Arabidopsis thaliana: one gene and its partner. The protein of the gene in region 1 interacts with the protein of each later gene in a pairwise test. Each region holds a gene or a part of one and is shown on either strand. Other genes may lie near its edges. The genes, in order: AT5G52970 and NAPRT2.

What was found.
Region 2: the proteins of AT5G52970 (region 1) and NAPRT2 interact in a two-hybrid assay, tested with the Arabidopsis thaliana proteins (one large-scale study listed by BioGRID).

What each region holds. Positions count from the first base shown.
Region 1 is NC_003076.8:21,471,893-21,487,547, reverse strand, and holds AT5G52970 (thylakoid lumen 15.0 kDa protein), read right to left. Parts: upstream 8,167-15,655; 5' UTR 7,929-8,166; coding exon 7,724-7,928; intron 7,428-7,723; coding exon 7,324-7,427; intron 7,147-7,323; coding exon 7,056-7,146; intron 6,977-7,055; coding exon 6,908-6,976; intron 6,829-6,907; coding exon 6,719-6,828; intron 6,623-6,718; coding exon 6,530-6,622; 3' UTR 6,292-6,529; downstream 1-6,291. Other genes in the region: TAP46 (2A phosphatase associated protein of 46 kD), read left to right, coding at 1-40, 332-418, 538-642, 749-910, 994-1,029, 1,114-1,185, 1,278-1,558, 1,639-1,894; AT5G52990 (SNARE-like superfamily protein), read right to left, coding at 2,542-3,360; AT5G52980 (ER-based factor for assembly of V-ATPase), read left to right, coding at 3,906-4,172, 4,657-4,795, 4,883-4,968, 5,043-5,219; AT5G52975 (egg cell-secreted-like protein (DUF1278)), read right to left, coding at 5,669-6,034; AT5G52965 (egg cell-secreted-like protein (DUF1278)), read right to left, coding at 8,345-8,707; AT5G52960 (tRNA dimethylallyltransferase), read right to left, coding at 9,279-9,384, 9,892-10,298; AT5G52950 (LIM domain protein), read left to right, coding at 10,609-12,722, 12,845-13,036, 13,121-13,661; AT5G52940 (hypothetical protein (DUF295)), read right to left, coding at 14,159-15,247.
Region 2 is NC_003071.7:9,963,521-9,980,924, reverse strand, and holds NAPRT2 (nicotinate phosphoribosyltransferase 2), read right to left. Parts: upstream 9,323-17,404; 5' UTR 9,107-9,322; coding exon 8,958-9,106; intron 8,867-8,957; coding exon 8,722-8,866; intron 8,634-8,721; coding exon 8,514-8,633; intron 8,422-8,513; coding exon 8,287-8,421; intron 8,194-8,286; coding exon 8,132-8,193; intron 8,036-8,131; coding exon 7,960-8,035; intron 7,737-7,959; coding exon 7,635-7,736; intron 7,501-7,634; coding exon 7,384-7,500; intron 7,294-7,383; coding exon 7,235-7,293; intron 7,130-7,234; coding exon 6,955-7,129; intron 6,872-6,954; coding exon 6,737-6,871; intron 6,652-6,736; coding exon 6,553-6,651; intron 6,470-6,552; coding exon 6,361-6,469; intron 6,285-6,360; coding exon 6,172-6,284; coding exon of another isoform or gene 6,133-6,171; exon of another isoform or gene 6,094-6,132; coding exon 6,016-6,093; 3' UTR 5,718-6,015; downstream 1-5,717. Other genes in the region: AT2G23440 (uncharacterized protein), read right to left, coding at 1,195-1,443; ICK1 (Cyclin-dependent kinase inhibitor family protein), read left to right, coding at 3,004-3,201, 3,295-3,338, 3,457-3,723, 3,839-3,905; CPT (cis-prenyltransferase), read left to right, coding at 13,184-13,341, 13,767-14,004, 14,083-14,153, 14,234-14,678; AT2G23400 (Undecaprenyl pyrophosphate synthetase family protein), read left to right, coding at 15,557-15,714, 16,024-16,261, 16,350-16,417, 16,504-16,623, 16,668-16,947. UniProt on the Arabidopsis thaliana protein: Catalyzes the first step in the biosynthesis of NAD from nicotinic acid, the ATP-dependent synthesis of beta-nicotinate D-ribonucleotide from nicotinate and 5-phospho-D-ribose 1-phosphate.

The DNA of each region.
Region 1 (15,655 bases):
TAAAGAAGATATTAGCACCAACAATCTCAAATATCTTTTGGTATGCAATTGAGTCTCTGTTGTTTGGATTTTTGTAATTTGTTTGTATTCTAGTTTTGTTATTAGTTTTGGTGTGGAAAGATCTGAAAGTGAAAAACTTTAGCTTGTCCTGATGCTTCTAGTTTTAGCTACTGACTGAAATTCAAAATGGAGTCTGAGATTTTGGATTGTAACGTTTTCCATTGAACTTACTCTGTGTGGAGACCATAAGATTGTGTTGAGATCATAAGATTGTGTTGCGAGTTGACATTTCTATAAAGTGACGAGGGATTATATTGTCTTGTGATTATAGGTGCCTTATTATCTTGCGGAGTTGACAGAGAAAATCATACAGGAGGACCGGATTCAGATTGTCAAAGCCTCGTATGCTAAGTTGAAGGTTAGTTTTCTGCTGAGTGTTTACATGTTTTTGTATCCCTTTGATGCTATTGCAAGTGGGAATGAGCATTTGGTTGGATTTTTTTTGAGATTGATGTATAGTTTTGTTATTGTGTCTAGGAGTTCTTTTCGTTCTGTGAGGCAATGGAGCTTGTTCCGGATGAGGAGTTGGAGGCTTCTTCACGAGGAGGTTCTGGTGCACCTGCTGATCGAAGGGCTCTCAAGGTAGATTCAGCCCTGTTTCTTTTGTTTATGTTCTGACGAGAATGAAGTTTAAAGTTTTCGGATTTTGAAATGCGTGTTGTGTCTTCATGATTATGGTACTTTGTAGATAGCTCGGTTCAAACGTCAAAAGGCTGCAGAGGCAAAGCTTCTTGAAATTAAAGAGAGGAAGGAGCGACGTGGACGTTCCACTAAAGCATCAGCTTTGTCGACTCCGGTTGAATCTGGAGAAGATGATATTCCAGATGATGACAGCGAAGAAGAGAGAGAGGTTTGTCCCACTTTTTGTTTTGCTGCTTTCTCTAATTCGATTTTTTCTTCTAAGCTTTCTTGTCTTATTGCTTTCCTCTGCAGGCCTGGCTCTCCTCAATTAACTTGGCTATTTGTAAGGTTTGTCTAAAAATCATTTCATTAGAACCCTATGATTTGTCACAAGTTGAGGAGGCATTATCTTATGATTGAACTTCGTTACAGGCTATTGATCTGTTGGAAATGCTAAAGAGAGAAGAGGAAATGCTCTCTGCAATAAAGGAAAGACAGTTGAAGGTAGCTTACCGTGGTGTTAGTTTTTTTAGGTGCGAACAAAACTATTTGATAAACATATAAAAGAAGAAAACGTGTTATGATATTTTGATCAGGATGGAGAGGGTGGATTTTCTCGGGATGCTCTTGATGATCGTACAAAGAAAGCTGAAACCTGGCACAGAGACGCTGCTGCAAGGATACAGTACTCTAAACCGGCACAACCAATCACTTGTGCCACATTTGCACAAGATGTGTTAGAAGGAAGAGCTTCGGTATCACAAGGTCACGAACACAAGAACCAACCTCTTATATTCGGTCCAGCAAGCATCGTGGGTGGACCGCTCTCTACCGAGAGAGAAAGAATGATAGCTCAGGTCTTCCAACCAAGTCACAGGTAGACACAAAATATTGCTCATTACAAAATCTTAATCCTTTTTGAGATTTAAAAATGGTGATTAAACTTGGGTTTTGTAGGATGCCAACAATGTGCATAGAGGATGCTGGGTTAACAGAGATGAACATAATGAATGATTGGCAAGAGCAGACGAAAAAAGCCATTGAAGAAGCAACCACCTCATGGTACAATGATAAACCTCTAAGAAGAAAAGAAGAAGACGAGGAAGATGATGATGAAGACGAAGAAGCTGTGATGAAAGCTAGAGCTTTCGATGATTGGAAGGATGATAATCCTCGCGGTGCAGGTAACAAGAAACTCACACCTTGTGGCTGAGACTAGAGACCGAGACACACATTATTTAACACTTTCTCCCTCTCTTTTGTTTCTTATTTCCAAAACCTCTTCGTTCACTTATTATAATGTCTGTAATGTAATCATCTTTCTACTCTTAAGCCTTAGACTTACAGATTTTGGATTCACGGATTCACTTTCATTTTCGTTGGGAATATTATTTTTAAATACGCCGACTACTAAAGATACAATGTATATATCTAGTAAAATACTAACGTGTGACTGGATCTGAGACCATCTTTTGTTGTCCTCTATTATTGTGTAACCCACGTTCAATCACAGCACCATTTATGGAATCAAACAACAAAAGAGAAGCGAGAAAAAAAAAAGAGATAATAACAACACACATTTTGCTTGTGAATGATTTAACTTCCAAAGTACAATTAACAACATCATTAACATGTAAACCAGGATTCAATCTATACCCTAGTTTTCCTCCTGGAAACAACACTTTTTGCGACTTTAAAAATCAAAGAAGATGAAAAAAGTTGACAAGAACAGAGAGATAACAAAAGGGATCAGATTTGATCCAAAAAAACGGATACCCAGAAAAAAGATGTCAAATGATCAAATTTTGATGCAGATTCAAAGAATATGAATTTGGAGATGTACACAGATGATGATAACTTTTACCCTTGAATGCATTGAAACCCTTCACAAATCCAAAGCCAAATTCCAAACAAAACAGCACAGATGCAGAAATCAAACATCAACACAACCCAAACATGTTTCTTCCAAATCTGTTTCGCCTTTTGTCTATGATGATGATCACTCAACAAACCATTTCTCAGTTCCTTGCGTAAGACTCCATTATTACCATTCCCACATAAATCAACATTCTTCTCTGATATCTCCTGAATCGAACCAACCTCACAAGAATCTCCCCCTTTTGCTTCATTATGCAATCTCTTCTTCTTCTTCAACGCCTTCAATGGTTTCCCCAAAAGTGGCATCAAAGCAGCTCTTCTTCCTTTAGATGAATCAATACTCGGATTTCGACTCTCTCTCGCTACACTCCTCGGTGATCCAACCAAATCCATATCCAATAATTCCAAATCAACAACACCAACAATCTCAGCGAAAACTGGATCAAGCTTCAATTGAAGACAATGAGAAACAGGATTAATCAGCGTCTCAACATCAGATCCACCGTCTTTAATCAGATCTTCAATAGCTGATCTCAAACGATTCAAAACCCAGAATGATTCAGGTTTCTCCATGGATTCATCAGAAATCGAGAAATAAACAAAGGAATCATCGTCGATTGCGAATGTATACGTCTTCTTGTGAACTGTATGAGAAAACATTGAATGATGAGGAGGCGTGTTCTCGATGCATCGTAAAGCTATAGCTTCGATTCCTGGCTCTTGCCTTGAAACGAACTCCGCGAGAACTACGGTTCCTTTCGCAATGCAAGTGTACGATAATAAACTTGGATTTGAAATCATCCTTTTCAATGGAGATCGAAGCGAAAAAAAAGAAGAGATCGTTTTAGGTTTTTGAAATCATTAGGGAAATGATGCGATCTCGATCGAATCAGAGAGGAGATCAGAGGATTTCTCTCTCTTTTTAGAAATACATGATCTCTTTCTCTTGCTCAATCCAATCTGTTTCAATGGAGATTTTTATGTTTCTCTCTCTTTTTAGGGTTTGCGAAAATTTCTAGGGAAAATAACAGAAATGGAGATCATTATTGGAGAAGACGAAACGAAAAAAAGATAGATACAGCCCAATAGAATATTTTGTTTAATGACTCACTTTTTGAAATTTACGATAATACCCCCATACTAAGCTTTCGTCGCCGTGATTCGAGTAATTCACACGTGCTAGGGTAATGCCACGTATCAAATATTGCCACGTCGGATAAGAGTCTTGTATTTGATACTTGTATAAGTCAGGGACCTAATCCAAATATATTATTTTGGACGTTGCTTAAAACATCGCGGAGAACCGACCCGCCTGAACAACGTCAAGTGTTTGGACCCGATCAAAGATGGATCAACCCGACCCGAAAAATGGCTCTGGTCTGATTCTCTCCGCCACTGAACCGCTGCGATCGTTTCTCGCTCTCGCCTCCGGTGATCGTCGTCTCTCCGACGAGCTCAGAGGAATTGCTTCCGATCTTCGCTCGAAGAACACCATTCCGTACAAATTGCTCCGCGCTATATGGACCGGATCCGATCCGTCGACCAGACCGGATTTGTTGGGACTTTTCTCCGGCTCCAATTTCGTCTTCACCAGTCCCAAACCCAGAGAAAAGGTACACGAACCTCCATTTCTACATCAAGTTTCTTTGCTGGGGAATTTCGCTATCAGGCTCATTTAATCTGGAATCCGGCGAAATTGGACCTAATTAGATTCTGTTTCTGCTCACTAATCTGCTGTTAATAGTTTCCACTGAAAGATAGATGATACTGAACTTGCTTGAACAATCCAGCAACAAAAGAGATTTGTCTTTTGGTATAGTTTAGAGAAATTTATGGAAGATTTCTAGTTATCTCTTGGTCAAAACTAGCACAAAATTGTGGTTTCATAGTTTTGTTCGATTCATATTCAAATCCAATATGCACAATTCTGTTGAATTGATTGGAAAAGTTGAGCATAATCGAAGAAACGTCGCCGCGGTTCTATTGAGTGTAATTCAAGGATGCTTCTGGGTTTCTTTCTTTGAAGTTTTCCTTATCTATGTTTAAACCTCTTCATGTCTCGCCATGTTTGATTTGATCTGATTTTTCGATTGATAGAGCGAAGAACTGAAACTGAGATTAGTGAAGCTCAGAGAAATAGCAGAGAGGAAGGAGTATGCTGAGCTTGTTAAAGATATAACACCAAAGAAACAAGTCGAAGAGCCTTTCTCTTCTTACAAAGACCAGCTCGGTTTTGGTAAGCATTGTCGCTCGGTTACTTTGTTCTTGGAAAAGTATTACACATTACTGAAGATTTTGCTTTTCTTGCAAACTCGTTTTATAGGTTTACATGTTGGTCTTACCATGTTCACTGGATATTTGGTTGGATACGCTTCCTTCAGAGCTTTATTCAACCGCAACCCCGCTCTGGTATCTCTCATTTTGTCAGATTCTGAAAACCATCAAGAGGATTTTTGTGAATCATGTTTTTCTTTTCCTTTCAGAGTGCTGCTGGTGGGATTCTTGGACTAGTTCTGGCGATGCTTGTGGAAACGCTTCTATTTATAATCAAAACGTCTAAAGATGATCAGATTCAGAGCTCTAAATCGTTCACTCAGAGCTCTCCATCGTTCACTCAGAGCTCTCCATCGTTCACTCCCACTACTAAGAAAAATCAATAGAACTTTGTTTGCATTCTTTTCCTACTGAGAAAAACTAAGAGATTTGTAGAGAATTTAGCTTGGTACCTGCCTGAAATGGAAAATTTTTGTACCCAAAAGACAAGAAGCACAATACTGTATTTAAGTTTTGTTTAAATAAAATTTGGAGTTTAAGTTTGTTTAAATAAAATTGGAGCTTTTTCATTTCTATCTTAATCTATAATATCCTTTTCTCTGCTTTAAGGATCTCAAAAATATTTGTGGTTATACTTACTATTCGTATATATATGACAAAGACACATTAGAAAAGATTTCGATGAATATTGCTACTTTATTGAGAAAACCTATAAAGAGGTCTCATAAAATATGAGTTCACATTTTGCCAACATAGAATTTAACTATAAAACTTAGGTTATTACTCTGAAGCTAACTACTAATTTAAAAGTGTAGATCAACAACCATTCTTGCTCTTAGTTGTGTGTAGGGGAGTTGGGGACAATACGAGCGCAGCTATCCTTGAGGAGAGGAGGGAAGAACGGATTCAACGGAAACATGTGAGGCCAACAGTTAGCATCTAAGGTCGAAAACGCCTTGCAACATGCGGCTTCGACATTTTCGAATTTTCCAGAGAAAATTGATTTGGCGATCTCGAGCACACATCCTTCAACATTGAAGAGAGACGACCAACATTTTACCAGATCAATAGGTAAGCCAGGTGGGAAAATTCCTGGAACCGTCGTCGGTGGTGTTTGCATATGAGCTACTCCTTGAGTGACAAAAATGGCAACACAAAGGGAAACAATCAAAATGACTGAGAGAATAGTTTTGCTTCCCATCTTTCTTTGTTAACCCTTTGATATGTTTTGTTTCCTTTTTGGTTTAGATGTTTGGATGCTTTTGGATTTAGCAAGAAAGGTAGTATTTATAGGATCACGAAACAAGTTTTTCTTAGATAAACCAAAAGTAACTCAAAGTGTAACAGATCAATTTTAAATGTTGTCTAAAAATGTAACTCATTTAGAGATTTCATGTATTGAATTTTCTTACATTAAGTTAGTTGACTAATGTAAATGTATCTCAACATGAGTCTGGTTTCGCTGTTACAATTTGAAATATCTTATTCCAGTTTATTGATTTTGGTTTCTCTATTTGTTTGTTTTAAAAGATACAAGTAACCAATTGAAACTGTTTGTTTGAGTAGGTGAAGCTGAGAAATGGAGAGAGGTTACTACTAGACGTGGATTCATTCTTACAAATTCTGTATCTCTTTGGTGCCAATCTATACAATGATATTATGATAATAACATATACGCTTGATGGGGTCATATACTTCATTGGATCTCTGCACAGTTGTTTCGACCAACTGGTTCTCGTAAGCAACTTGATATCGCCATCACTGCAGCTTCAATAGATGCATCTTCTCCCTGGTTTCAAGCCATATTGTAAACAGTTTAGACATGCAAACAAAAAACAAAGAAAGTGGCGATCATCGGTTTTTTTAATCGAGGTAGCTTTCTTGCCTTCTCTTTCCAGTAAAACATATTGCCGTATTTCCCAGCCAGTCGACTCCAGAAACTACGAGGTATGTCTAAATCAACCGTAGCTCCAACATTGAAATTCAATATGTTCCCTGTGTCAAATCCGGTTATCACAATCAGTTTCCCATTTGGATACTTCAAGAACTTAAGCAATGAGGTTTGGGGTGTTACCAAAAGTCGGGTCAGCGACAAACACAATTGTGCTATCATCCACCTGCCAGAAATCTTTGATTGCTAGTCCTGTTGCAAACACAGAGAAATGTCACTAAGTAAACTTCTATAGAGATCAAGTATGTTGTTTTCCAAGCATATATCATACCAGGGGTAACGGGATAGTTTTGAGCCAAGACTCTCAACTTGAATCCTGTATCTTTCTCAAGATTAGCGATTTCTTGAGCAATTCTCTTCTCCTATAACTCTCAAAGAACAACATCATTAAGAAAAGAAAACCAAAAGCGGCGAAAACATTCAAAATCAGAAATACACTAAAAATCTACAGAATAAGCAAATAGATCCACATGACATTAACAAGAAACAAGTGCTTTAATCAAACCTCAAAAATAGATGGATGGTACAAGCATGCATACCTGACCATTAGAGAGGAAATCAGCAACATCTATAACAGAAGTGAACTCTTTAGGAAGCAATTCTGGTTTGTTAACACCAACTTTTGCATCTGCAAACCCCACGCCTGCAAAAAGAGATTCAAAGTTATTGACAGCTAAAATCTTGAAATTGCATATGCATTGTTCATAGTTATGGAATAAGAGACTAGGTCCGAAATTTCACAATTCTGACTTTGATAAGCCAATGCAACAAGTAATTAAAGTCACAAGCTTGAGATTGCAGAGTAAACAAAAATTCTAACTTTGTGATATTTTAGATTGTTTTGCAACACATCCACATTGTTACTGAAATCAAAGAGCATGTTGTTCAATATTGAGTCAAAAAGAAATGATCTTGGTCAAAAGGAACAAAGAAACGTACCTGATAGAGATAAACCGAGAGCAAGAGCTCCAGAGAACACCAAACTGAGAGATTTCGACCGGAAACGTGAAACCCAGTTTTCTTCGTCGCCGGAGGTTTTCAAGGAGAGACGAGACGACGAAGAAACTTCTCTGGAGCTGTAGTTGAAGACAAAAGGAGAGAAGCTTCTACATTGTGAAGGAGGAGGTCGAAAAAGCATCGCCATGACTCTTCGTTACTCTGCTTCGTTCTGGATAACGTTAAAACGCTCGATATAATTTCGGTACAGAACCGAACCAACTAAACCGGAAATAACCATACTATAGGATCCATATGAGAAGGTTTGTTTGGTTATTGCATTTTGAGGTACGATTTTCCAATGTTTTTTTTTTTGGTCGGTTCCAATGTTTTTTTTTTTTGGTCGGTTCCAATGTTTTTCTTTTGTGCAACCAACAAAACACATTTATAAGAGTTATTATATAAAAGGAAAATATTGAAATTTTATGTCATTGAGAAAAACTATAAAAAGAGAACTCTTCCAAGATATAGTTCACATTTTGCTAACAAAATAAACATTGAAACTTATTAGACTTTGGAGCTAATGACTAATTTAAAAGCGTAGACCAGCAATAATTCTTGTTCTTAGTTGTGTGTAGGGGAGTTGGGGACAATGCGAGCGCAGTTGTCCTTGAGGAGAGGAGGGAAAAATGGATTCAACGGAAACATATGGGGCCAACAGTTAGCATCTAAGGTTGAAAACGCCTTGCAACATGCGGCTTCGACATTTTCGAATTTTCCAGAGAAAATTGATTTGGCGATCTCGAGCACACATCCTTCAACATTGAAGAGAGACGACCAACATTTTACAAGATCAATAGGTAAGCCAGGTAGGAGAAGTCCTGGAACCGTTGGTGGTGTTTGCATATGAGCTACTCCTTGAGAGACAAAAATGGCAGCACAAAGGGAAACCATTAAAGAGATTGAGAGAAAAGTTTTGGTTGCCATCTTTCTTGTTAATCCTTTTTCTACGTATTTCTTTCTTTCTTTTTGGTTTTATGTTAGACTTAGATGCTTGGGATGGTTTTGGATATCGGAAGAAACTTAGAATTTATAGTATCAGGAAACAAGGCTTTATTTGATAAATCAAGAGTAACATATCACTTTTAATTCTGTGTTCAATATGTAACTCATGTTTAAGTTTGATGTATTAATTTTCTCTCATTACTTTGAGTTGACTAACGTAAATGTAGTCTTGCTAAAGGTTTGAAACAGAAGATGTGAAAGTTATGCATCAGTAAATAAAGTCACCGATGCCTACACACCAAATTTCACATATTAGTAATAGCTTAGATAATGCATAGGTTCTTCATGTGGGATGCAGTAAGATTATCTACCTACTGGTTCCAAATGCGTATAATTTTCACATTCATTGTTCAAGTTTTGAAAGACCGTACCTGCTAAAGAATTGTGATAAAAATGGTTTTCGGATCAAACAAGCAAATGCATCATATAACGAGAAACTACTGAAAAAGCAAAGTTTAAGAACAAAGATACTCAAACAAACTCTTTTTATTCTTTAAGGTCCTCCAAGTATGGCATTCTCGGTATCTTCTCTACTCAACGCATAGCTAAACCTTCTTTCCATGTCTCTCTCTAGATTTCCCGGCCCACTTTTCATGTACCTACATAACAAGCAATCTAGTTAGTCCAACTTGGCGGGATTACACATAGAGAAACTCCAAAGGAAATGATCAGAGAACATGGCAATGCATCAACTTATTTGGTCTGTTGGATTGATACACAGAGACATTAAATTAGCTTCTAATTCTCAACTCCTTGGACTAAAACATCAAGATTAGATAGCACCAACAGCGGATGCAACCAACCGCATAACAATCGGTTCCGCACTACAAATACTGAACTAGGATTCACTTCACAATCATCTTCAAGAGGTTAATTCATCACACTATGCTATACTTTTATACTTATCCAAGCTAAAAACAAACTCTTCTTCTCAACATCAATATCCTCATTGTTAACACAACTAGCTTTAACTACACAATCACAAACACTTAAACTAGTTAAGAAATCATTCATTTAGGATACTAAAAACAGGAATTTATCAACAACATCTCAGAGCTGAGAACTTCAGGAACTCAATGAAACTACAAAAGCAATCAGCTTCATACCTAATGCAGAGATCAGTGACATCAAGAGATAGTTGAGCATGCCAATCAGGTTTCTGAATCAACCAAACAGCTCTATCGTCTTTACTTTGGTAAAACCCTAATTTCCTCAGCCACGCTTCGATACAAGGTAAGCTATGCGAATACAGTGGCTTGTTCTTCTCTGGTAGCTTCTTCAGCCATTCGTCCTCCGTATCTGACACCTCCTCCGCGTCTGAAGATTTTGAAGATACTAGAGTTAGAGGCTTCCTCCGAATTGTGGAAGAAGAAGAAGAAGCGAAACTACGACATCTGGGAGAAATCGAGGCTTTTGAGCTCAAAATGTGAAGAAATTTCGCAGGGATTGATGATTGTGCACATGGAAATAGAGCACTTGAAGGAACAAATTCAAATGCAGAAACACAGTTCATGATTACGAGAATTTTCTCCGAGAAAATTCCTGATTTTCCCAGGAAAATTCTTGCAGAAAGGAAAAATCTGAAGCGGAGGAAGTTTTCGTAATCTTTGTTCTATCTTCAATTTTGCCACGTCACCAAATTAAAACTCTTGTTGGGCCATTAATGGCCTTATGATGTAGTAGTAAGCAAGACCCAATAAATTGACAATCTAATGACGTGGCAATATGTTTCCCGCCAAAAACATAACCTCGTAGCTCACTCCCTCCTCTCTTCTTCAACCTCAAAACCAAAATCGAATCTTCTCTCTCTCTGCTTCATTTCAATGGCTGGAGATTTGTTATACGCCAAAACGCAGCGTTTTGTGCTTTTGATAGATCTTAATCCGCTTCTGATCAAACCCAATTCGGAGCAATACCTAGCCGTCGTGATCTCCGCCGCCGAGAAGCTTCTCTTATTTCCTCCTTTATCTGCTTCTCTCTTCTCTTTCAAATTCTTCTTTTCTTCTCTTTCTTCTCTCTTATCATCCTCAAAGCTCTCGTCACTCTCAATTTCATCTTCTCCGCTTTCATTTGACCTTCCTAACCCTACACTCGTCTCTCTCAAACGCGCCATCGACGCGGTTAAAGGATATGAACTTCGATCTAGCTCCACGGTGGCGACGGCGGCATCGCCTCGTGGGGTTAATGTCGCGGCGAATTTGCGACAGATTGTTTATGATTACGCTTGGGAACCGGTGGTTCGAGATCCGGAGATAGGTATGATTCCTGGATTTACTGATGGTGGATTAGATGTTGTGAGGTCGAATTTGGTTGTGATGTTTTCCCCAATTTCTAGGGATTTGGATTGGGTTTCTGAGTTTCTTGATGTTAAGAGTGGTGATGAGTGTTTTAGCGACTTGGATTTGTTTAAGTCAAAGTTAAGGGAGATTTTTTATTGTGTGAATGAGTTATTTGATGATAGAGATATTCAATTAAGCTGGATTGATGTTAAATCTGGAGATGAAAGATGTGAATTGGGATTGAAGTCTGGGTTTTTCGATAGTGGGATTAGAGAATTGGGTTGGGGGCATTGTTCTACTGATTCAATTGTTTTTGGTTCTTCAGTTGTTCCCTTTGGATTAATATATCCAGCAATTGGTATTTCCCCAAAGCTATCTACTAGCCAGAAATTTACCCTTCAGGCTAGTCTTGAGATTGCAGATATTAATGGTAAACCTATGGAATGCAAGTGTGGTGGTGAGTTAGAGTTTTCTTCTTCTGAAATATTTAGTGGGAAGAGGTGTGATGAGTTTATCAACTTAGCTAGTGGGACTGAGCCAGTCAATCATGACTCTCTAGTTGAACAGTTTTGTGATGGGAGTACCAAACTCAGTATTAAGGCCTTGAGGATGTGTGATGATCTTATTGAACTAGAGAGGTATACTTGCGATACTTTTGTTGTTCATCAAGTCTCCCAGGACTCTGATCAAGATCAGGAGGAGGAGAGTGCGTTTTGGGCTGACCTGGTTTTTCAGATATTAGGAAAGGAGACGGGTGAGAGAGTAGCCAAAAGATCATCACCCATTTGGCAGATCTTATTAAGTTATCTCTATAGGGAAGGTTTCTCAGCATTGGTATCTTTTTCAAATAGCAATGGTAGTTTGCGGACAGGAATCCTCAAGCCCTTCACTTTTTCCTCGGCCTTAATCTGTGTTTTTGACAATGGAGTGTCTCCTCAAACTGTGGATCATGAAGATAGCAGGAAGAAAGTCAGTTGTAGCGAATATAAAAGAAAACCAAGGAAAAATTCTCTTAATGACATTAGCTGGGAGGAGTTCTGCAGATCAGTGAAAGATTATGGTCAAATAGATCTAGAAGATGTTTATTTCTTCAAGTATAGCAAGTCGAAGAAACTTAAGTTTCTGAAATGCTGGATGAAACAGATTAGTAAACCCAGAGGTTGCAGCTTATCCGTGGCTAGTAATTGCAATGCATTGGAGGATGTGGACGCAAATCCAATTGAGGAAAAGAACAACTCCTCTGAAGAGACAGATAAAGCTAGTTCTCCTTTACCTCTAGCTGAAGAGGACATTGCTTTGAGTGGAAATCGTATATCCGGAAAGCAGGAAAGTAATACGTATGTTCATGCATCAGAATCATCAGAGAATTTCTTCGTTAGTCTTCCTAGTAAAATCAAGCAAGGGATAGAGTCTGAAGAAATAGACTTGTCAGCTCTTGCCGAGCGGCTTGTCAAGTCTTGTGTCTTCTACTCCTCTCAAAGAGCTGAGAAGGACTATAGCTGTGAGAGTGGAACCCTCTTGTTGGTCATTGACGAGCTAACCAAGATGTTACTGAAAGATCCGAAAGATTTAGTTGCCAAGTTCAAAAAGAAAGATTCATCATCAGTGGCTAGTGAGCGGAATTGTGATGAAGCTGGACCCAGTAGGATCGTTAGAGAGTATCCTTTTACTTTCTGTTTGGTTACAGTAGCCAACTTATTCATTTACTGATGCTTTCTTTTCATTTATCTAAGCTGAATTGTTTGGCATTGTTGTTCTGTTTTCTTTAATAAGCTATAAGATACGAGCTGCAGATTCTTTTCAGGATGGAGATTCTAAGATGTAAGAAAGGTTTGGGAAATGAAGAATCTGTGACACAGAAGTTTGCAAAACAGATTTGCATGTTCCTTGAGGGCATTCAGTGCAAGTTAGATGGCGGATTCTTTGGTGAATGGAGCCTTGATAAGTATGTAGACAAAACTATAAAAGCCAGGTATATAATGCCATTCTCAGCACGTATATTGTAGCTTGGTTATGTGTATTCATGCTAACGCATCTTACTTTTGCCCCTTCTCAGGTATCAGCATATTCTGGGAGGAGCTGTCAATATAATATATACAGAGATGGATCTGCTCATGTTCACTGATGAGGATCTTGAAGATAGTTTCATGAACAATGAAGACAGTAGTCAATCAGGGAGAGAAAATATCCATAGCAATTTCAAAAATCATCATCATAGTCAAAGTAATGAAGATGTTCCTGGTACGAGTAAGCAGAAAAACACTGAGGAAAGCAGAGAAGCTAAGAAAGAGGTTGAAGCACAAGGAATGAGGGAGAGGGCAAGAAGATTCTCGAGTTTCACAAGTTGGATGCCTGATCTTTGTAGAGTCTGGGCACCAAAACAAACGAAGAACTCTAAAGGCAAGGCCGACCAGCAACAGAGAACGGCCAAAAGAAAGAAGGAGCAAAGATCAGTGGAATATGATAGAGTATGTGAGACACCAATGACAACAATAGAGACCAAACGAATACGAACTGGTAACAAAGATGACTACGAATGTGAGACTTTGCCTCGTAGTTCAGTACCAAAGGCTTTGTTTCAGGATGATTGTTCTTAGGTACACTTACAAGTGAATGAAGCCTAAAAATGGGAAAAGAAAATGTATCATTAGAGTTTGAGTGGGATGTTCTTTGTTAGAGTTAGTAATTCAAACCCTATACGTAGATGGAATCTCATTGTACTTTTTTACAAAATCAGATATTAATACAAGAATGAGTGAATCAATTTGGTTCCAATTTCAAACAAAGGTCATTGGTTGTGTTTGGGAGATTCAAATCAAGTCTACTTATCACGACACAAAGGACAAGATGTACTTATTCATGTGCATCTTTGACAAAGGTAGGAAAAGAACCATTTTCCAAAGAGCAGAGTTCTAGTTCATCATATTCATTTGATCATGAAGACGAGTCATCGCAGATATTACAAATTTGCTATATCCAAGAGCATATGCATCTCAATCTCACAGAAAATATATAATATAGATTTTGATATTTGAAAGGTCTAAGAAAAGACAACAAGACTCTTCTAGGACAAGAACTCAATTCCAGCCTAAGACTAAGAGTCAATTTTTGGAGGTGGAAAATAGTAAGGGGACCCGAATGTACAAATCCCACTAATGATGGAGGAATCAGACAGATCGACAAGTGCGTGTTCGTCAACATCCAAGGTGTGGACTTCGTTAGGGCACATGCCGGGAAAGGAGCTAGCAGTGACACAAAAGGGTTCAGACTTTGACAGGAAAATGCAGAGATCTCCGATGTCTTGAGTGTAAACAGCTTTCCCTTCTTCGTATAGCTTGAAGACCATTACAGCTCTTGTTTTCATTTTCACCACGCCATTGGATGTGTCCTTCCTATACCACTTAACCAAGAAAGTCTCATTTGTGGTTGTTGACTCAACCAAGTGTTGGCTCGTGCAACACGAATGCAAGAGCTCCCTTTTGGTCTTGGTGAGCTCGGGAAGGTTTTTGAATCGCAACCTCTGAATCTTGGGTTTGTTCTTGTGTTTGTGGAGATCCCATGATCCAATGAGGTGACCTCCAGATCCAAGAATTCGAAACGTGCCGTCTTTCTTGGAAAACATAACAGGGGATGAGTAGAAACATGGGTTTTCGATTCTGATGTTGGTCCACTCGGAGTTTCTTTGAGCTGGTCTACATAAGCTGAGCTGAGGTCCTAAGAACTTGAGAGCGACAACACAGTCTTCATCCTCAGGAGAAGAAGAAGACATGGCGACGTTGGTGACAACTTTGGTTTGGCAATGAGGCAGAGTCACAAGAGGAGGCAGGGGAATGCGTTTCGGATCTGTATCAGATGCAACCAGGTTTAGATCGTCTTGGAGACGCACTATTCCATCGTCTTTCAAAGTAGCTACCCAGCCATGAGAGGACCCGATAGTTACCCTGGCCTTTCCATCCACCAACTCCATTGGTACCTTCTTTTCCAAATGAGTGCTGTCATATCCATTAGCTTCGAAAATAATGAGTTTTCCGAGATCCGGGTATCTTGGTCCGGAAGGATCAGCGGTGAAGACGTGATAAGGAGGGTTTTGCAGCAAGGAATTTGACAAGGCATTAGAATGGAGAAGAGAAGATCTTACAAACACAGGTTTCCCAAGGCGGAGCCGGCTGAGAAGCATAGCCATGAATTAGATGGATGTTCTTAATGGAAAAGCAAGAAATTCCTTATTGAAGAATTTGTTATCTTCACCACCTAAAAACCCTAATGAGTGAAGAAATTGTTATATTCTCCACCTAAAACCCTCCATTATTAATACAGAGGAATGGCCTTGCCCACCAAGGCTTTCCATTCTCCACCAAGTCTTTGGATATTTCTCCTTCCATTATGTCAACAAGTATCATTAAGTTCCTTTATCTATCTTTTACTTTTAAAGCTAAATAAACGACTCAAATTAATGATTAATCCGTGGAAACTTTATATCTCTCTATTTTGGCCAACACTTTGGTTTATATCTCCTCCTGATTGTGAGTTAAAAGTGAAGACAGTACATCTTTTGATAAGGATGAAAATGCTTGGTTCTATCTTAAACAAA
Region 2 (17,404 bases), on another chromosome or scaffold:
GAATTCGAGTTCGAGTTTCCAATATATTCTCGAGATTTGAAGGCATATATGTAGAATAGGTGAAATCCACTTGTGCATTTCTAGTTGATTCCGGTTGTACAAATTCAGAGACATCAAAGTAAGTGTAAGTATCTCGTTCGTTTTCTACTATCATATTATAAATTATTATACATAGTAGAAGAATTAACGGTAAGAAAAAAAATTCGGCTTTAATATTATTCTTCCAACCAACCAAATCATGCCACGTCACCACCACATTTTACTTCAGAGGATCTCTTAGCTTAGAGGGCCTCTAAGCAAAATTGCTCAATTAACATTTAAATTTAATCATTTACAATCTAAGAATCTCCTAATATCTCCCTAATATCCCCCCTTTAATGATACTCTTAGGTTCTTGACTGTCTTAATTATTATTTTGTATGAGAATTGTAAATCAGTATTTTGGAAATATTTTTTATTTTCTTAATTTTTGAAGTAGTAGCTATAAATATATAATTTAGTTAAAAGAAATACAGATTATGTTAATGGATATACATGATTACTTTTTCGTTAATGGAAATATAGCTTCAGTTTTCGTTATTTGTCTCTAAATTCTTAACCATCTTTTACTTGGTATATTGCTTATTTCTCAAATACTAACATCCGTCTAAAACTTTTAACAAACAAACTAAAGTTTTTCAGTGACTAATATTACGTAATACAAACTTTTAGGTTTTTCTCCATGCAAAATAATGTCTGGCTCAAATTTTGAAACGCAGATATGGAATATCTGTACCAAATTATTTCAAAGATAGTTATTCGTTCTACGTACAGATTTTGAAGACATAAACAAGTAATCGAAATTGCTTCTATAGTTCTATTCCTAAATCGGTTTGTGATTAGATCGAGTTACGTATGATTCAGTTCAAGCGAATGACATATCTCGATAGAAAAATTTCTTAGTTCAAGCGAGTGACACATCTCGATAGAAAAATATATGAGAAAATTGGAACCTGATAAAAAAATGTATGTGCTTTTAAAATAAGATGGATTACATCAATCTTAATTTAATCAAATAAATATTATTACAATCACACTTGCAAGAAACTGAATATGACGAAACTGTACGTAAATACATATTCAGAAAAAAAAAGTCACCAGGCCAATCATATTTTCAACATGTAATCACATAGACGATGCTATTGTTCCTCTCCGTTAATTATGTACGGAATGTCCAATACCGGGGCTATGACCAGGTTCCGTAGGTCTGAAGGTATCAACCCCGTGGCTCGGCGGCGACTCAAGTGGCTCAGTCGGAGGTGACGACGACAATACAGAGCCACCAGCTCTGATTTCCTCAGACGTCGTTACGGTGAATTTGGTGAGTTTTCGGCCTTCAATTGAACCAACACTAATAGTCAAAAGAAAGATAAATGCAAAAACGTAAACATTAATCGTCGCCATTACTAGAAAAACCGAGACGAGAATTAGAAAAAAAAAGAAGCTAAATTATAATATTTAGTCGAAGGCGAAAATGTATTATGTATTGATGCATGAAACCTCTTGGACCATCTGATGTATTTATAGGGATGAAATTTTACATAACATGGGCGCAACACTTGAGGAGATAAATTAAATATTTAGGGGGTATTATTGGTTTATGATTTTAAAAGAACTTTAACGATTATGTAAAATCGTTTGTTATTCAATCAAGATTTTTAAAAAGTTTATTAAAGTTCTTTGTTATTAATTTAAGATTTATAAAAAGTTTTCTAATATCTTTATAAATCTAGGGTTATAGATTCATACTTTTTTGTAAAGTGAGTAAAAGTTTTATGTTATTCAATTAAAACAAAAGTCGTCTGCATGACCTTCATGTAAATTTCAGTCCCTTCTTTTGATTGAGAAACTAGGGAATTTTTTGGATTGAAAATTGCTTGGTGAGTTAAGGAGATCTAATCTTGATGCTCACTTTATTGCCAAGAGCGTAACAAAAAATGATCGCCGTTAATCGTATGTAGCAACTAGGTTTTCTTTTTGGTTAAAACAACTTTTTGAGGAAGAAAAAAATGCCTAGTGTAATACTGGTTGATCTAGAATGATTGTCCTTGATCCACATTTTTTTGTATGTTTGGTTGGAAATTATGAAGTATATATTTATCTTTCAGTGAAAAAAAAAATATTTTTAATTTTTAAAGCAAGACATGGTAATTTGAATGCACTCGCCACTCCATTTTGTTCATGCTTTGAGACAAAAACAAAACATAGAAAGGCTGACAAGGCCCATGGGAAGTGATGGAGGCCAAGTTTAGTTCTTAGAAACCTTTACTATATTATGACTTATTAAGCCCAATATATCACGATCGACACGTGCTGTTGACAACTTGACATCAGGCTAAGCAAATACGCAGGGATAACAAAAATATAATTTCTAGTGTCAGTTTTACTTTTACCTTATTTTACTCACAGGTACGTAGTTTTTAGGCTATCCGTAACAATCCACCTATACTATACACATAATCTATATATAGTCTCTATCCAATTCATTTTAAAGTAATATGAACTTTCTAATTTTACCTAAACTATAAAATTCATCCCAACTATACAAAAAGCTTGTCAATTATAATTTAAAACATTTTAAACGGTTTCGCGTAATGGCAAATCTGTGAATTACCAATAGATGAGAGGGTTTTTAAAATAGTTAGTTACACCACAATTATTACGCCTCCCGTTCCGTTAAGTCACCGTTTATAACCGACACGTGTCAATAAAACAAACCATCGGCATAAGTAACTCCATAACATCCAAATAACGGCGCCTCCAGTTTCCCCGTTAAAGATTCCCCGTCACTGTAACGGGACCACTAAAACACGCCATTTCTCTATCACACACAGCACAAAACTCAATCCTGACCGTTCAAAACCAAATTCATCATCTTTCTTTCTTCTTCTTCCTCATCCTCTCAATCATATCTCTCTCTCTCACAGAGATTGTGACTTCACGCACACGTAACCTAAATCGAAGATGGTGAGAAAATATAGAAAAGCTAAAGGAATTGTAGAAGCTGGAGTTTCGTCAACGTATATGCAGCTACGGAGCCGGAGAATTGTTTATGTTAGATCGGAAAAATCAAGCTCTGTCTCCGTCGTCGGTGATAATGGAGTTTCGTCGTCTTGTAGTGGAAGCAATGAATATAAGAAGAAAGAATTAATACATCTGGAGGTTATTTAATGTTGTTGATTCTAGATTCTTGTAACTGTATATGTATCATTTAATGTTAATGTATTTTTTTTTGAAATTTTGAAATTTTTGTAGGAGGAAGATAAAGATGGTGACACTGAAACGTCGACGTATCGACGGTGAGTGTTAAAAAAAAAACTGAAAATGATTTGAATTTTGAAGGTTTTATTATTTTCCCGGTTATTTATTTGACTCTCTCTTCAATAAATTTAGAATCTTGCTTGTGAGTTATTTTAGGGGTACGAAGAGGAAGCTTTTTGAAAATCTGAGAGAGGAGGAGAAAGAAGAATTAAGTAAATCCATGGAGAATTATTCATCGGAATTTGAATCGGCGGTTAAAGAATCGTTAGATTGTTGTTGTAGCGGGAGGAAAACGATGGAGGAGACGGTGACGGCGGAGGAGGAGGAGAAGGCGAAATTGATGACGGAGATGCCAACGGAATCGGAAATTGAAGATTTTTTTGTGGAAGCTGAGAAACAACTCAAAGAAAAATTCAAGAAGAAGTAAGTTTTTATTTTATTTTGTGAGTTTGATTTTTATAGATAATATATTTTTTATTCATAATTTAAAATTGATTTTGAGGTAAAATTAAGAGTGAGTTTATTTTTTTTTAATTAGGTACAATTTCGATTTCGAGAAGGAGAAGCCATTAGAAGGACGTTACGAATGGGTAAAGTTAGAGTGAAGAAGAAGAAGAAGTTTATGGTTTTTTTTTTAACTTTTTAGATTTTAATATTTCAGGGAATAAGTTAATTTTATTTTGTTGATTTGGAAATATAAGATTTGTAGGAGGAATGTTTTTAGAAGTACGAAATTGCACAGAAAAAGAAGAAAGCTTTTTAACAGATTTTAGAGCCCAGAAAAGTCGTGTCTTTTAGCTCTACTTTTACCTCTTCTTCGAATCTTGTGTATCTTTTAGCATATTCTTTAGTACATTTTTATGTTTTTGGTGACTGATAAAATTCTATCCCCACACAGGTACAACCACACTCATTTTTTTGTCTTCTCCGTTTTAATAATATTCAACCAAAAACATCAAATGCATTTTGGTAGATTATCTTACCGCCCTAAACGCTTAAAATTATTTTAGAATTTTATTTCTTACAACGTTTGATATGGATTAAAAAGTACTATGAAATTAGTTATTATTGTTCTACTACTTAAATTAACTAATCGACAATTTCAGTGCAGTTTTTTGTTGAACAAAATCGTACCAACCATGTCAGCTAACCACACCAACTAATTTTTTTGTTTCATATTCAGCACCGAATATGATTGAGCTCGACCAATCAGAATTTCAAGATGATTCTGTTATTCTTAAAGTTTATTGATTAATAACAAATCACAAACATTCTATCACACGAAACTTGGTTTGAAACTTTTCAAAATTTTAATTATAATAATACTAGCATATAATAAAACTTTAGATCTGTAAAGGGCATACTGTACTGGCCCAATGGTTAGAGAATTTTGAGATAATGCCATAAATACATTATTCCAAATGATGCAGGACCATTTTGTAACTAGACAAATTATCCGAAGACTTGGAAACAAAACTCTTTCATGGACCATTTCAGAAAATCTTCAAAACAAATGATCATGGACCATTTTGTATATGTAAGCTTAATTCAGATCACAAACAGGTTAAATGAGGGACTCAAATAAACAAAAACAATTCTTTCATCGAGGGCTGTTTTATTTTCGTGATATTGTTAAGGGAAACTTAAAGATATGTTTGGAATGGCCAAGTCAACTAAATTAACTATTTTTTAAGAAGTCAAACTAAACTTTAGGATTTAAATGACATTTGAAAAGTTCATGTTTTTTTCGTCAACAATATGAAAGTTCATGTTTTCTCAACATTTTTTTCTTTAATCAATCTATTAATTTTCACTAAAGAATTGTTGTTTTGAAAATATGAACGGAGCCAAAAAAAAAAAGAGTATTGGTCCCGACCAGTTTTGTGTATACTATGTGTTTCTTTTATATCAACAAATTTAACTTTCATCCAAGAAAACCCACGCCCATATCGAGTGCCCTGCCCTCGAAGCCATGGCTATTTGGAGACCATAAGAATTCAAAGTTACACTTGTATAACTCTGTTGTATAAGACCAAAACTATCACTTGTTTTTAACCTCAATTTGGATGGATTATCGTCTTGTCATTTTTAGTCATCTTGTATTCTTGTTAAGTGATTTTTCGTTAAGTAATGGTTTCCTTATATTCCATATTTTTTTTTACTGTTTGGTAAGTTTCTGTAATAAAGTTTTACTCCTCATTTACTCTGTTGTATTTTTCTATTCTCATATTCCATAATTCATCTTTTTGGAAATGAATTTTGAATATGTGGTTAGTGACTAGGTCCACCCCAAACGTCCTAGTAACGCCTAAAGAAGTTTTTGAAGAAAGGTAATGTTCTTCAAATCTCTGCTAGAAAAAACTCAATTAACTCAACTGCTTACCAATCCGTTTGCAACAGTAAGTTGTCAACCATATGACGAAACTAAACCTGATCCAAAATCGTTGACTTGAGTAAATGTTTTTACAGTCTCCAGTATGTTTACAGCTGTAAATATAAAATCTTATTGAATCAGTTGAAAACAAAGTTCCAGTGAACGCAGAGAGTTTCTTTCCTCAGTAAGAAAATGAAACTTACTACGACAATGAGAGATCATCAAAATGTTGTAAGAAAAAGAAACTAAAAGTGAAAAAAATGCATATTTGTGATGCTGTGGTATATAAATTATATACATTACACCAAACCAAAACCAGATTCTTCTTTTTGGTTGTTCTGTCACTGCAATTCACCAACAGGTGCTTCGTTTAGCCATAAGAAGTGGATGAAATCGTACAGCTTTGCGCTTACACTAACCTGTAAACCATGAGAGAAAAAAACATTTACACAGATTTCTCAGAAACTGAAAAACATGTTTGTCGGATAAAACCATACCTTATAAGGAGTTGGGTTTAATCTCCTCATATGATCAGGTCGCATGTTTTCGAGCTGTTTGATGCAACGGTCTCTTATCTCTTTCAAAGGCGGTAATACTTCTCTTGCTTCATCTTCATTGGTATAGAGAAACAATAATCAGTGAAAAGCATTGTCATTAATAACTCTACGGTACCGGAAAATCTTTACCTGCACTTCCACGCCAATAACATTTGAGGAGCTCTTCGACACGTTGTGGCACTACATATGCTCTTTTGGATTCGTTGAATGGGTGACGACAAAGTAAACGCTCACCAACCTTTGATATCAAGAAAGATATTATGTAAAAATGCAATAAGGTAATGAGATTAAAATCTTTGAGAGAGTTATCTTTCGTTTTACCTTTGGAGGTGGTTCGTTCTCTCCAGTCATTATATCTACCAGAGGGTAACCTTCTTTGCCGTATAATCTGTAACTTCGCTTTTTACACGGTATTGATACCTAAACGAATCAGAATGATAATCAGATTAAGTGCAATGTGACATTGAATGTTCAGAACACCAAGAGAGAGAGAGAGAGTTTTAACCTTTGTAACATCTTCAGAAAGTTTAATCCGAGGCTGATTGTTTATCTCCACAAGTTTGAAAACGCAACCTAAGGCCGCTTGTGAATAGCAAGTGACCAAGTAGGTCCCGATGCCAAAAGCATCCACCTCATGTCCCTATAGAGATGAAAGAAAAAACACTGCTTAATAATAATCAATCTTTCGGGGGCATGGCATTTGAGAGTGGGTTAGGGAGTCACCTGTTTATTTAAAGCGTCAATCGTCTCTTCATTTAGATCATTACTAGCAGTGACGACCATCTTCCCAAAACCAGGCACTTTTAGTTCTCTCTCTACCGTGCAGAAGAAATTTCTGGCCTCTCTAGATAGATAAGCTAAATCACCTGAATCCAGTCTAATACCTAATGCTTTATATCTGCGCAGCACAATAAACATCAATTGCATCTCAAATTCCATATGATCCTGAAGAAGTACAAAGTCAAGTCAGACGATCGGGTATTGATAAGAGATTCTTACACACCCAAAGTCATTGAGTGCTAAAGCAACTGCACAGAAGTTAGGGATTCCACTCTTCATCACCTGTAAAACAGTCAGCAAAACACTAATATAAGAGTTTATTAGAAATCCTAAGGCTCAAATGAGCTATCTACTATGGTGTTTAATGCTCACATCGTATGTATCTACGAGGGCAAGAAAAGTTTTGGGGAATGCCAGTGCATATGAGGTGAAAGCTGCTAGCTCGCTTTGATTTGTCTCAGAGAAAATGCCACTTAGAGATGGTGAATACTGTCATCCACAAAGAAACAAAACATAAGAAAAACTGTGACAAAGATTCAAGCAAAGGGTTGAAGCAGAAATAGAACAATGGTCCTGAGACTAGAAAACAGGAAGAGGAAGAGCAAAATGTGCAATAAACAAACCTGAATCTTTTTTAACCATGTCTGAACATGACTAACAAAATCCTCGCACGTGGTTTTCCCATCAGCACTACGAAGTACTTTGTCAACAATCTCATCAGTACTCTGCAATCCAAAGTTAACTAATTATATCGAAAATGCTTTTGTGATATTGTTATGAGCGAGGATATTAAGTGTGCATCAGAACCATGGCTAATAAAGTTATAGCAACAAAGGCATTGACAAGAATATCTTATTTTCACGAAACTTTGTGTTATCGTCTCTACTAGCTAACTCAAGTATGTAACCTCCACATAAAAATTGAAACTTTTGGCTGAAGTGAACTGACCATGAATGAGCTAACATAAGCATGAGAGTGTGTTCCACGAAGAGGAATCCCAAAAAGTTTTCCAGCTGCTACATTACTGTCATTGGCAAAATACCCAACAACACAAAACACATCATTTCCACATTCCCTTTCACCTACTTCCAGATCAACAAAAACAAAAAGCAAGACTTGCCTTGTTGCATCAAAACCTCCAAGGTAGCAATATTTTGATGCGCTTATTGCACCATCCGGACCCTAAGATTCCAACACTAATAACATCAGACAGAGATGGAAAGAACAACACAAAAGGCAATATATCAAAAAACAAGAGAGAGATTTATAGGAAACCTGAGCCCTTCGAGCACCAAACTCGAGTAGACTCTTAGATTTTCCGGCAACAAAGCGATGCCTAGCTGCGTTAGTAGCTACCAAAGATGCAAAATTGACAAGATTGAGGAATGGAGTTTCCAACAATTGAACAACCTATGGAGATTTTACAACAACTGATGAATCATTCATTCAAGAAAACTATTCCTTAAACAATCTTCACAAATGAAAGAGACAAAGAGACTCACACCAACAGGTCCTTCAACTCTCATGAGAGGTACTTTAGGAAAAACAACTGATCCTTCCGGAATTGCATAAACTTCAACATCAGAACAATCAAGCCCTCTAAGATAATCACAAAAAGCTTCCTAATTTGAATCACAAACATAAAACCCTGATTTAAAAATCCAAACTTTAATCAATAACAATCTAAAAACAAACAGATTTTTGATATACCTCAGATCCAGGCAAACACTCTTGAACGAAATCGATTTCTTCATCAGTCAATTTGAAATTGGCTAAGAACTTAACACACTCTTCTAATCCAGCAAACACAGTGTACTCACCACCAAATGGGTTCTTACGAAAATACAGATCGAAACTGAAAAGGAAACAAAAACAATTTCAAATATACAAAACCATTCAGAATTCAACATCAAAAGCAGAGCATGAGAAGAGATTGTGTGTTGTACACGGATCGTTCGTTGTGTTTGCCAGCTTTCCAATAAGCATAAGCCATGGTGAATTGATAAAGATCATTGAGTAAAGGTGTGACCATTGGATTCGTTGGTCCGTCAATGATCTTCTGACCCAATTCTGAGCCGTTCTCTTTCGGCTCCATTGTCGTCGCTTCCAATTTGTGTGGAACAATTGGCTTCGTATGAGTGAGTGTGTGTGTGATTACGAGAGAGTGAATGGACGAGGAACACTGGTTCTTGGTTGTTTATATTGGAGTGGTCAAAGGAAAAAGAAAAAAACAAGTGTGTTTAAAGAAAGAGACGACGACCACCACACAAAGCAAAACTTGCTTTGAACTTGACCTAGTCTTTCTTTAAGAGCCTTTATTGGTTTCTAATTATTTCTCATTTTAGAGTTTAGACTAAAACGAGGTTTAATTTTCGTGGTTGTTGGCTCTTAGATTATTGGAATTTTCACGTTTAAAAGAATTTTATGTGTTGAAAATTGGCATATGGTAGCCAAATTCAACTAATTATAATAATTACTCAGAAAAATTTACATATTGGTATTGGTAACAAATAACAATATCTTGTATCTCTAATAAATTAATGAAAAGAGTTTAGCTGTTTTAATCTAAAAAACTTAAATTACAGAGGCGGGGAATTTTTTCATTTCAAATACATTTTTTTGGTGTGATTTATTTCACATACATAATTCGGAAAACTTGTATAGCGTAAATCTATTGATTAATAATGGTACACACTTGCTGTGTTATGATATATTTGTGTATTTAATGATTTTAGTTTATTGACTATTTTTAATGTGCAATATTAATGATTTTTAGCTCTTTTGCAATCAAATATGCAGTATGATATTTGATTAGTAGTAAATATTTACATTTCACATATATGTTATAGTATTTGATGAATATTGTACTTATAATATATAATATTTGTTAACATTAAAATAGAAAAGGTTAATGTAGATTAATACATCTTAAAACTTCAGTTTCTTAAAATATATAAATATTGTAAAAATGTTCAGATGCTTATTATGGAAAAACAAAACAAAACAGAATTGCATAACACCAAAAATTTTAAACATGATTATGAAAAAATCAATCCAAATTTAGGTACATTTATTTATCAAAGTTTAATTTTACATCAAACAATAGTATCTAAAATGAATTAAAATGAACTCAAACTTAAGACTAAACATAAGATTGTCCCAACTTGGTTTTTGAAGCCATATCGCATATGGCCTAACCATATTCATGGTCTCTTTTATTTGTCAGTGTCATGATATGAGTATCACAATTTGATAGGGTTCTCTTGAAGTTGTTGATTAAAAATAATCAAAACAAATAATTCTGGAGAGAGCCTCCTACGTGGCAGTCAGTGGTTGGTTGATATATTTAACCAACAAAAAATCCTTGTGTCTTTATTTTTCATTCCGTCGGGAAATTTTCTCACTCTCTCTATTGGTCGTCTCTCTCGACGCTGCTCACCATTCCGAGTTCGTTTCACCAAATCGATGACCCAATTCTATATGTGTTTGTCCCAAATCCAATCTCCCACCAAACCCTTGCTTCGTTCCCTCGAATCAGAGCATTGTCAGATAGGAAGATGACTAAGCTTTGATTGATTTAGTTGTGTAGATGATTTGGTTCTTTAGAAAACGAAGAAGTTATCTGATTGATCTGTTTCGTTTTATTGTTTGTTGCATGGGGATCAGTGTTGTTGATTTGGATCCCATAAGAACCAGCTTTTGCTTGGGTACAGTCATTCTAGTAATCTAGTCTGTTCTCTTGGGTTATTAATATTTTCTTCAGTTTGCATTATTAGCGAGAGGAAGTCTACATATGTGTTTGATTGATTCGTAATGCTGGTTATCGTTAACACCTTTATATGGTTTTAAAATCAGGTGATCGTGTGCCCACTAAGTTGAAGAAAGCCATCATGCAAGCCCGAGAAGACAAGAAGCTGACTCAGTCCCAACTTGCTCAAGTATTTTCTCTTTTCTCTGTATCTATCTCTTTCTTTTGTTGCTTTTTCTTAGTAATTGGCTTCATGATGGTTATGTTGTATGTTTTGAGTCATTGGCTTCATAGATGTACAAGACTAGGAGTTTGTTTTGTTGGCGTTATGTATTTTGGTGATAGACTCTGTAACTATGGAACACATATAGCTCATGATTTGGTGATAGTAATTCGCTTCATAGTTAAATGTATCTCTAATTTGATGATAGTAATTGGCTTCTAATTTGAGTGAGTCATGCAGATTCAAGCCAAACAAAAAAAAAAAAATTATAAGAATTTTAATTTGTTGATGAGTAGAGGAACAAAAACCTTTTAATTTTTGAATAACACTAGATTTGATATGGTTTTTAAGAAAAACAAAAATCTTCTAAAATCCCTAATCCAATACATCCCCCTAAATGTTTTGGTTTACTAATTTTGTTTTAATTAGCTCATAATTTATGACAAAATTATATATTTAACTAAACATTATAATATTTATTTCACATCTATTTTATAATATTTCCAAAAAATGTATTTTAATATTTTATGCTTTGTAATATTAAGTTGTATGAAATAAAATAATTTATATGAATATTTTTTTTTTAAGAGACCTCCTTTAAGAGAACCTACCATTGGAGTATAAAAAACCAAGAAATAATACACAAAGTTCTCTTGTTAGTTTTTTGAAAATTTAATCATAAAAAAATGGAGAGAGCCATTGGCATAAAAATCTAGCTAGCTAGAAACTTTTGTATGATATCACTAAAACACAAAACGTTAAACATATTAACCATTGGCATAAAAATATGTATTTTTTAGTAGATTCTGTCACACTAACAAAGAAAAACATAGAAATTTTCTATATTCTTTGTTGAAATGTAGAAAATTTTAACATATGCAATGATATCCAAGGAGCTTTCTCCATTTAAGACATTTATTCAACAAATAGAAATTATTTTTTCTTGCATTTCAACAAAGAAATCTTCCACCTGTATATGTTTTTTTCATATAAATAGAATTAAAATAATATAGCTATCAAAAACACTTGATAAAAGCATATGCACATTTAAGATTGAGTTACAAAATTAGTATTTAAGATGAAAAGAAAAATAATTAAGATTTTTTTTTAGGATCAAGTTTAATGGCTATAATAACATCTTCTTGCACATATATGTAGTTATGTACGTTTCAACACAGTATTATGGTGTAGCAAAAGAGCAGCGAAGTATATTAATATTCTGAACTCTTATTTATTCAATCTAAAATATAATATTGTGTACGAGATGTCTTTTATATATTCTTTTATTTGACAAAGCTAGCATATGATTCATTTTCCACATGATGATGGCATATACATCGACCATAGTTTACCATGAAATCCTTCTGTCATGAACTTTATCTGCATGCCTTTTTAAGACATGTTAACTACGACACGTTTTTCTCTTTGTCTAACACTCCATGAACTTGCCCCATGTTTTCTTGTGTTTTTTTTTTTCTCTTGGAGAACACTGCACATGTAGCAGGCTTAACTATCTTTCAAACTACTCGGTTCGACAGATCTTTCTTATAGAGATCTTCGTATAGCATATCGACTAATTTTGTACGGTCAAAACTCAAAAGCTTGTTTCAACTGCAAACAATTCTGTTGGTTAAAAATGTCAACCAAAGAGTGTCACGAGGAAGAATTCAAATTCATGTACGTTCCATGATTTAAGAAAAATCATCAGCGAGCACTGTGATTTTACTTCCTTTTTTTTTTTTTTGGTAATTAACATACTGTGATAAGAGAGTTTTGGATTCTTCTCATCTCAACATTTTCCGTGTAATTTATAAAGACCTTTTTCGGTCAATATATTTTAACCAGACTCGTAATTGGCCAGAAAAATAAGAGAGTTTAATTAATTTCTCTAAAATTATTGGTGCTAATCACAGTCTTGTGACACAAGAAACCAATCACGTGGGTTCCAACTTCCAAAGCCCTAGTGTAATACGTTACAAAACGTTACAACTTGCAGCTGGAAAAAAGATAGATAACGTTACAAAACTTCTATTAACTGATATTAAAGTTTCACCAAGGAAGAGTGTAATACGTATTACCACCTGTCTTTGCGTAGTTTGATTGATCAATGTCTTTGATTTCTTAATATATATACTGTAAATGAGAAAGCCTCAATAACTCAAACAAACATCGAGGCAAAGCCAAATTAAGTTGTCACAACAATGTTGTCTCTTCTTTCTTCTGATTCTTCTCTATTATCACTCCTCTTTCTCTTTCTCATCCCTTGTCTCTTTATCACAAGCTATATAGGCTTCCCTGTGTTCTTGCTAAAACTCATCGGACTCATCAAAATCAAAGCTGCTCGAGACAACGAGAAACGGTATAGTTCGCGTTTTCTAATCATACTTTTAGTTTTAGTAGTAGTTATATGTTTTAGTACTCTCTTAACTAAAATTTTCAAACTTGTCATTAAAAACCTACAACCTTCAAATAAAATTTGGCATGCATTTAGCCAATTAGCAATAACTTAATCTGCTGTGTGTTACACATATACATTTTTTCATACAAAATGTCAATCTTTTAAGTTATATCCACGCTGTAAACTTTATAAGCAATTTCTAGCCACACATGTTATAAAACCCTTATAAACACTTTCTATACCATATTTATAAAAGTCTGAAAATCTAGTTTGTGGTATTTTTGAATATGGACAAAAACAAAATTTGGTGTTTGAAGAGTGGTATTTTGAAACAAGACAGTTTTGGTTGGATCATGACTTAACATTGGCTTTTTGTGTTTGTGAAGTGATGAGGGAACTTATGTTGTCCGCGAGGATGGGTTACAAAGAGAACTAATGCCGAGACACGTGGCATTCATACTGGATGGGAACCGGAGATGGGCCAAACGGGCCGGATTGACGACGTCACAAGGCCACGAGGCGGGAGCTAAACGGCTTATAGATATCGCCGAGCTCTGCTTCGAGTTGGGGGTTCATACAGTCTCAGCTTTTGCTTTCTCCACAGAGAATTGGGGAAGAGACAAGGTGTGACATTTTGGAAAAAGTATGTAGCTTACATTCTCATACAATTATCGATTCTAACAATTTGTTGTTATTATTAAGATTGAGATTGATAACTTGATGTCTTTGATCCAACACTACCGCAATAAGTCCAACATCAAATTCTTCCACAGGTATAAAATATAAATATAATAAAAAAAATTTGTTTAACATATTGGTAAGCTCATTTATTAGCAAGCTCTTCTTGTTTCAGATCGGAAGTTCGCGTTTCTGTTATCGGGAATAAAACGAAGATCCCTGAATCTCTCCTCAAAGAAATCCATGAGATAGAGGAAGCTACCAAAGGCTACAAGAATAAACATCTCATCATGGCAGTAGATTACAGCGGGAAATTTGATATCATGCATGCTTGCAAGAGTCTTGTGAAGAAATCAGAAAAAGGGTTGATCCGAGAGGAAGATGTAGACGAGGCATTGATCGAGAGAGAGCTTTTGACAAATTGTAGTGACTTCCCAAGTCCTGATTTAATGATTAGGACAAGTGGAGAACAGAGGATTAGTAACTTCTTCTTGTGGCAACTTGCTTATTCCGAGCTTTTCTTCTCGCCGGTATTTTGGCCTGATTTCGATAAGGATAAGCTTCTAGAGGCTCTTGCTTCGTATCAGCGTAGGGAAAGACGATTTGGTTGTCGGGTTTGATCCACCTTTCATCCTCTCTATTATGTTTTGTTCATCTGTAATTTCTACCAAACTTCTTGCGTATCATTGTAATTTGTGTCGGTAAAAATCGAATAAAATCAGTGATGCGTTTATTTCTTTCTCCGTGCTTCGCTTTATACGCATGTTTTATGTATCAGTTGACAGTTGTTACTAAAACCAATAACTTGCTAAACAAGTAACTTTAATACCTCAGATTCCTCTAGTTCAACAACATTACAATTTAAAACTCCAAACCATCACCCCAAAACTAGGCAAAGTTTCTGATTTTTTAATTAAAACATCTTCAAACCAATTCACTTTTTTTTTGCGGGAAATAGATTGATAAAGATCCAAATTCACTCGATTAAATGGGTCTAAGTGTCAAATCAAAGTATATTAGCCCACCTTTTCGACCACACAAAACAACTGAAGTCCCCAGAGAGTGACACGTCACGAAGCAAAAATCCATGAATCAAAACCTAAAGTCACCGTCGCGCACAGAAGGGTCTCCTTTTCCGATCCTCTTCAGAAGCACCAGACACAAGAAACCAAAAAAGGCTTGTTTCACAAGAAACCAATAAAAGTCTTGTGACACAAGAAACCAATAAAAGTCTTGTGACACAAGAAACCAATCACGTGGGTTCTCAAAGCCCTAATGCAGCTGGAAAAAGATAGATAAACCGTTACAAACATCGATTAACTTAATATAAATGATTCTCCACGGAAGAGTTTAATACGTAAGACCTGTCTTTGCGTAGTTTGATTGATCAAAGCGACGTCTTTGAATTCTTAGTATATATATGTGTATGACAAAGCTTCAATAACTCGAACAAATTAACATTAAAGCAAAGCCAAATTAAGCATTAGCAAGGACAAGAATGTTGTCTCTTCTCTCTACTCTAGTAGCCCTCCCCTTTCTGTTTCTCATCCCTTGTCTCTTTATCACAAGCTATATATGTTTCCCTGTGTTCTTGACAAAACTCCTTGGACTCATCAAATTCAAAGCCGCTCGAGACGATGATGACAACGAGAAACGGTAGTTTACGGTTTTTTAATCATACTTTTAGTTTTTAGTAAGTTATGTTTGTGGAATGTTTTGTAAATCTATAATTTGTAAAATGTTTTGTACAAGAGTGACATCATATAAATGGTATTTTTGAAAGTCTCCCGAGAAGAGAATCATAATTTAATTTCAATTTTATAATCACTAGTTAATATCTAGTTATCAACAGAAATTATACTACACAAGTACACATAGAGAGAGCCTTTTGTTAGAATTATCCCACATCGGAAGAATTTTTGGACAATATATATGTGTTTTAGCAATAATTTTTTGGTTGTATAGTGATGAGGCAACTTGTGTTGTCCGAGAGGAGGAGCTACAAAGAGAGCTGATGCCGAGACACGTGTCATTCATACTAGATGGGAACCGGAGATGGGCCAAACGAGACGGATTGACGACGGCACAAGGCCACGAGGCTGGAACTAAACGAATTATAGAGATAGCCGAGGTCTGCTTCGAGTTGGGTATTCATACAGTCTCAGCTTTTGCTTTCTCCACAGAGAATTGGGGAAGAGACAAGGTGTGACATTTTACATTGTAGATCTCACAAGTAGATTATATTCTCATACAATTATAGACACTAACAAATTTTGTTGTTATTATATAAGTTTGAGGTTAAGTGCTTAATGTCTTTGTTCAACCACTACCTCAAGTCCAACATTCAATACTTTCAAAGGTATATATACAAATTCGATTGTGATTCTTTTGTTTTGACATATTCTCTCTGGTTATTCATTACCAAGAATTATCTTGTTGTTACAGAAAGGAAGTTCGCGTTTCTGTTATCGGGAATAAAACGAAGATCCCTGAATCTCTCCTCAAAGAAATCCATGAGATAGAGGAAGCTACCAAGGCTACAAGAATAAGCATCTCATCATGGCAGTAGATTACAGCGGGAAATTTGATATCATGCATGCTTGCAAGAGTCTTGTGAAGAAATCAGAAAAAGGGTTGATCCGAGAGGAAGATGTAGACGAGGCATTGATCGAGAGAGAGCTTCTAACGAATTGTAGTGACTTCCCAAGTCCTGATTTAATGATTAGGACAAGTGGAGAACAAAGGATTAGTAACTTCTTCTTGTGGCAACTTGCTTATACCGAGCTTTTCTACTCGCCGGTATTGTGGCCTGATTTCGATAAGGATAAGCTTCTAGAGGCCCTCGCTTCGTATCAGGGCAGGGAAAGACGATTTGGTTGTCGCGTGTGATCCACCTTTCATCCTCTTTATTCATCTATAATTTCTATCAAACTACTTGCTCTTTGTTTCACGTTTCATTGTAATATATGTCTTTAAATCGGATAAAATCAGTGATGTCTTTGCTTCTCCTTCTACGCATGTATCAGTTTGTTACTAAAAATCAATATCTTGCTATACAAGAAAATATCTCAGAAACCTAGTTCTACAGCACTAAAATTGAAAATCAGTCTTTGCGGGAAATAGTTTGGGCTTTAAAGGTCCATGTCCACTCGATTTAATGGGCCTAGCTGTCAAATCAATAGCCCACCTTATCGACAACGCAAAAAAATAACTGAAGACCCCAAAATTGACACGTCACGAAGCAAATAAACCAAATTCCCATGAATCAAAAAAATCATCAGCGACCACTGTGACTCCACTTGAGCGCCGGAGCCGCCGCCGTCGCCGTCGCGTCGGAACTCCATTT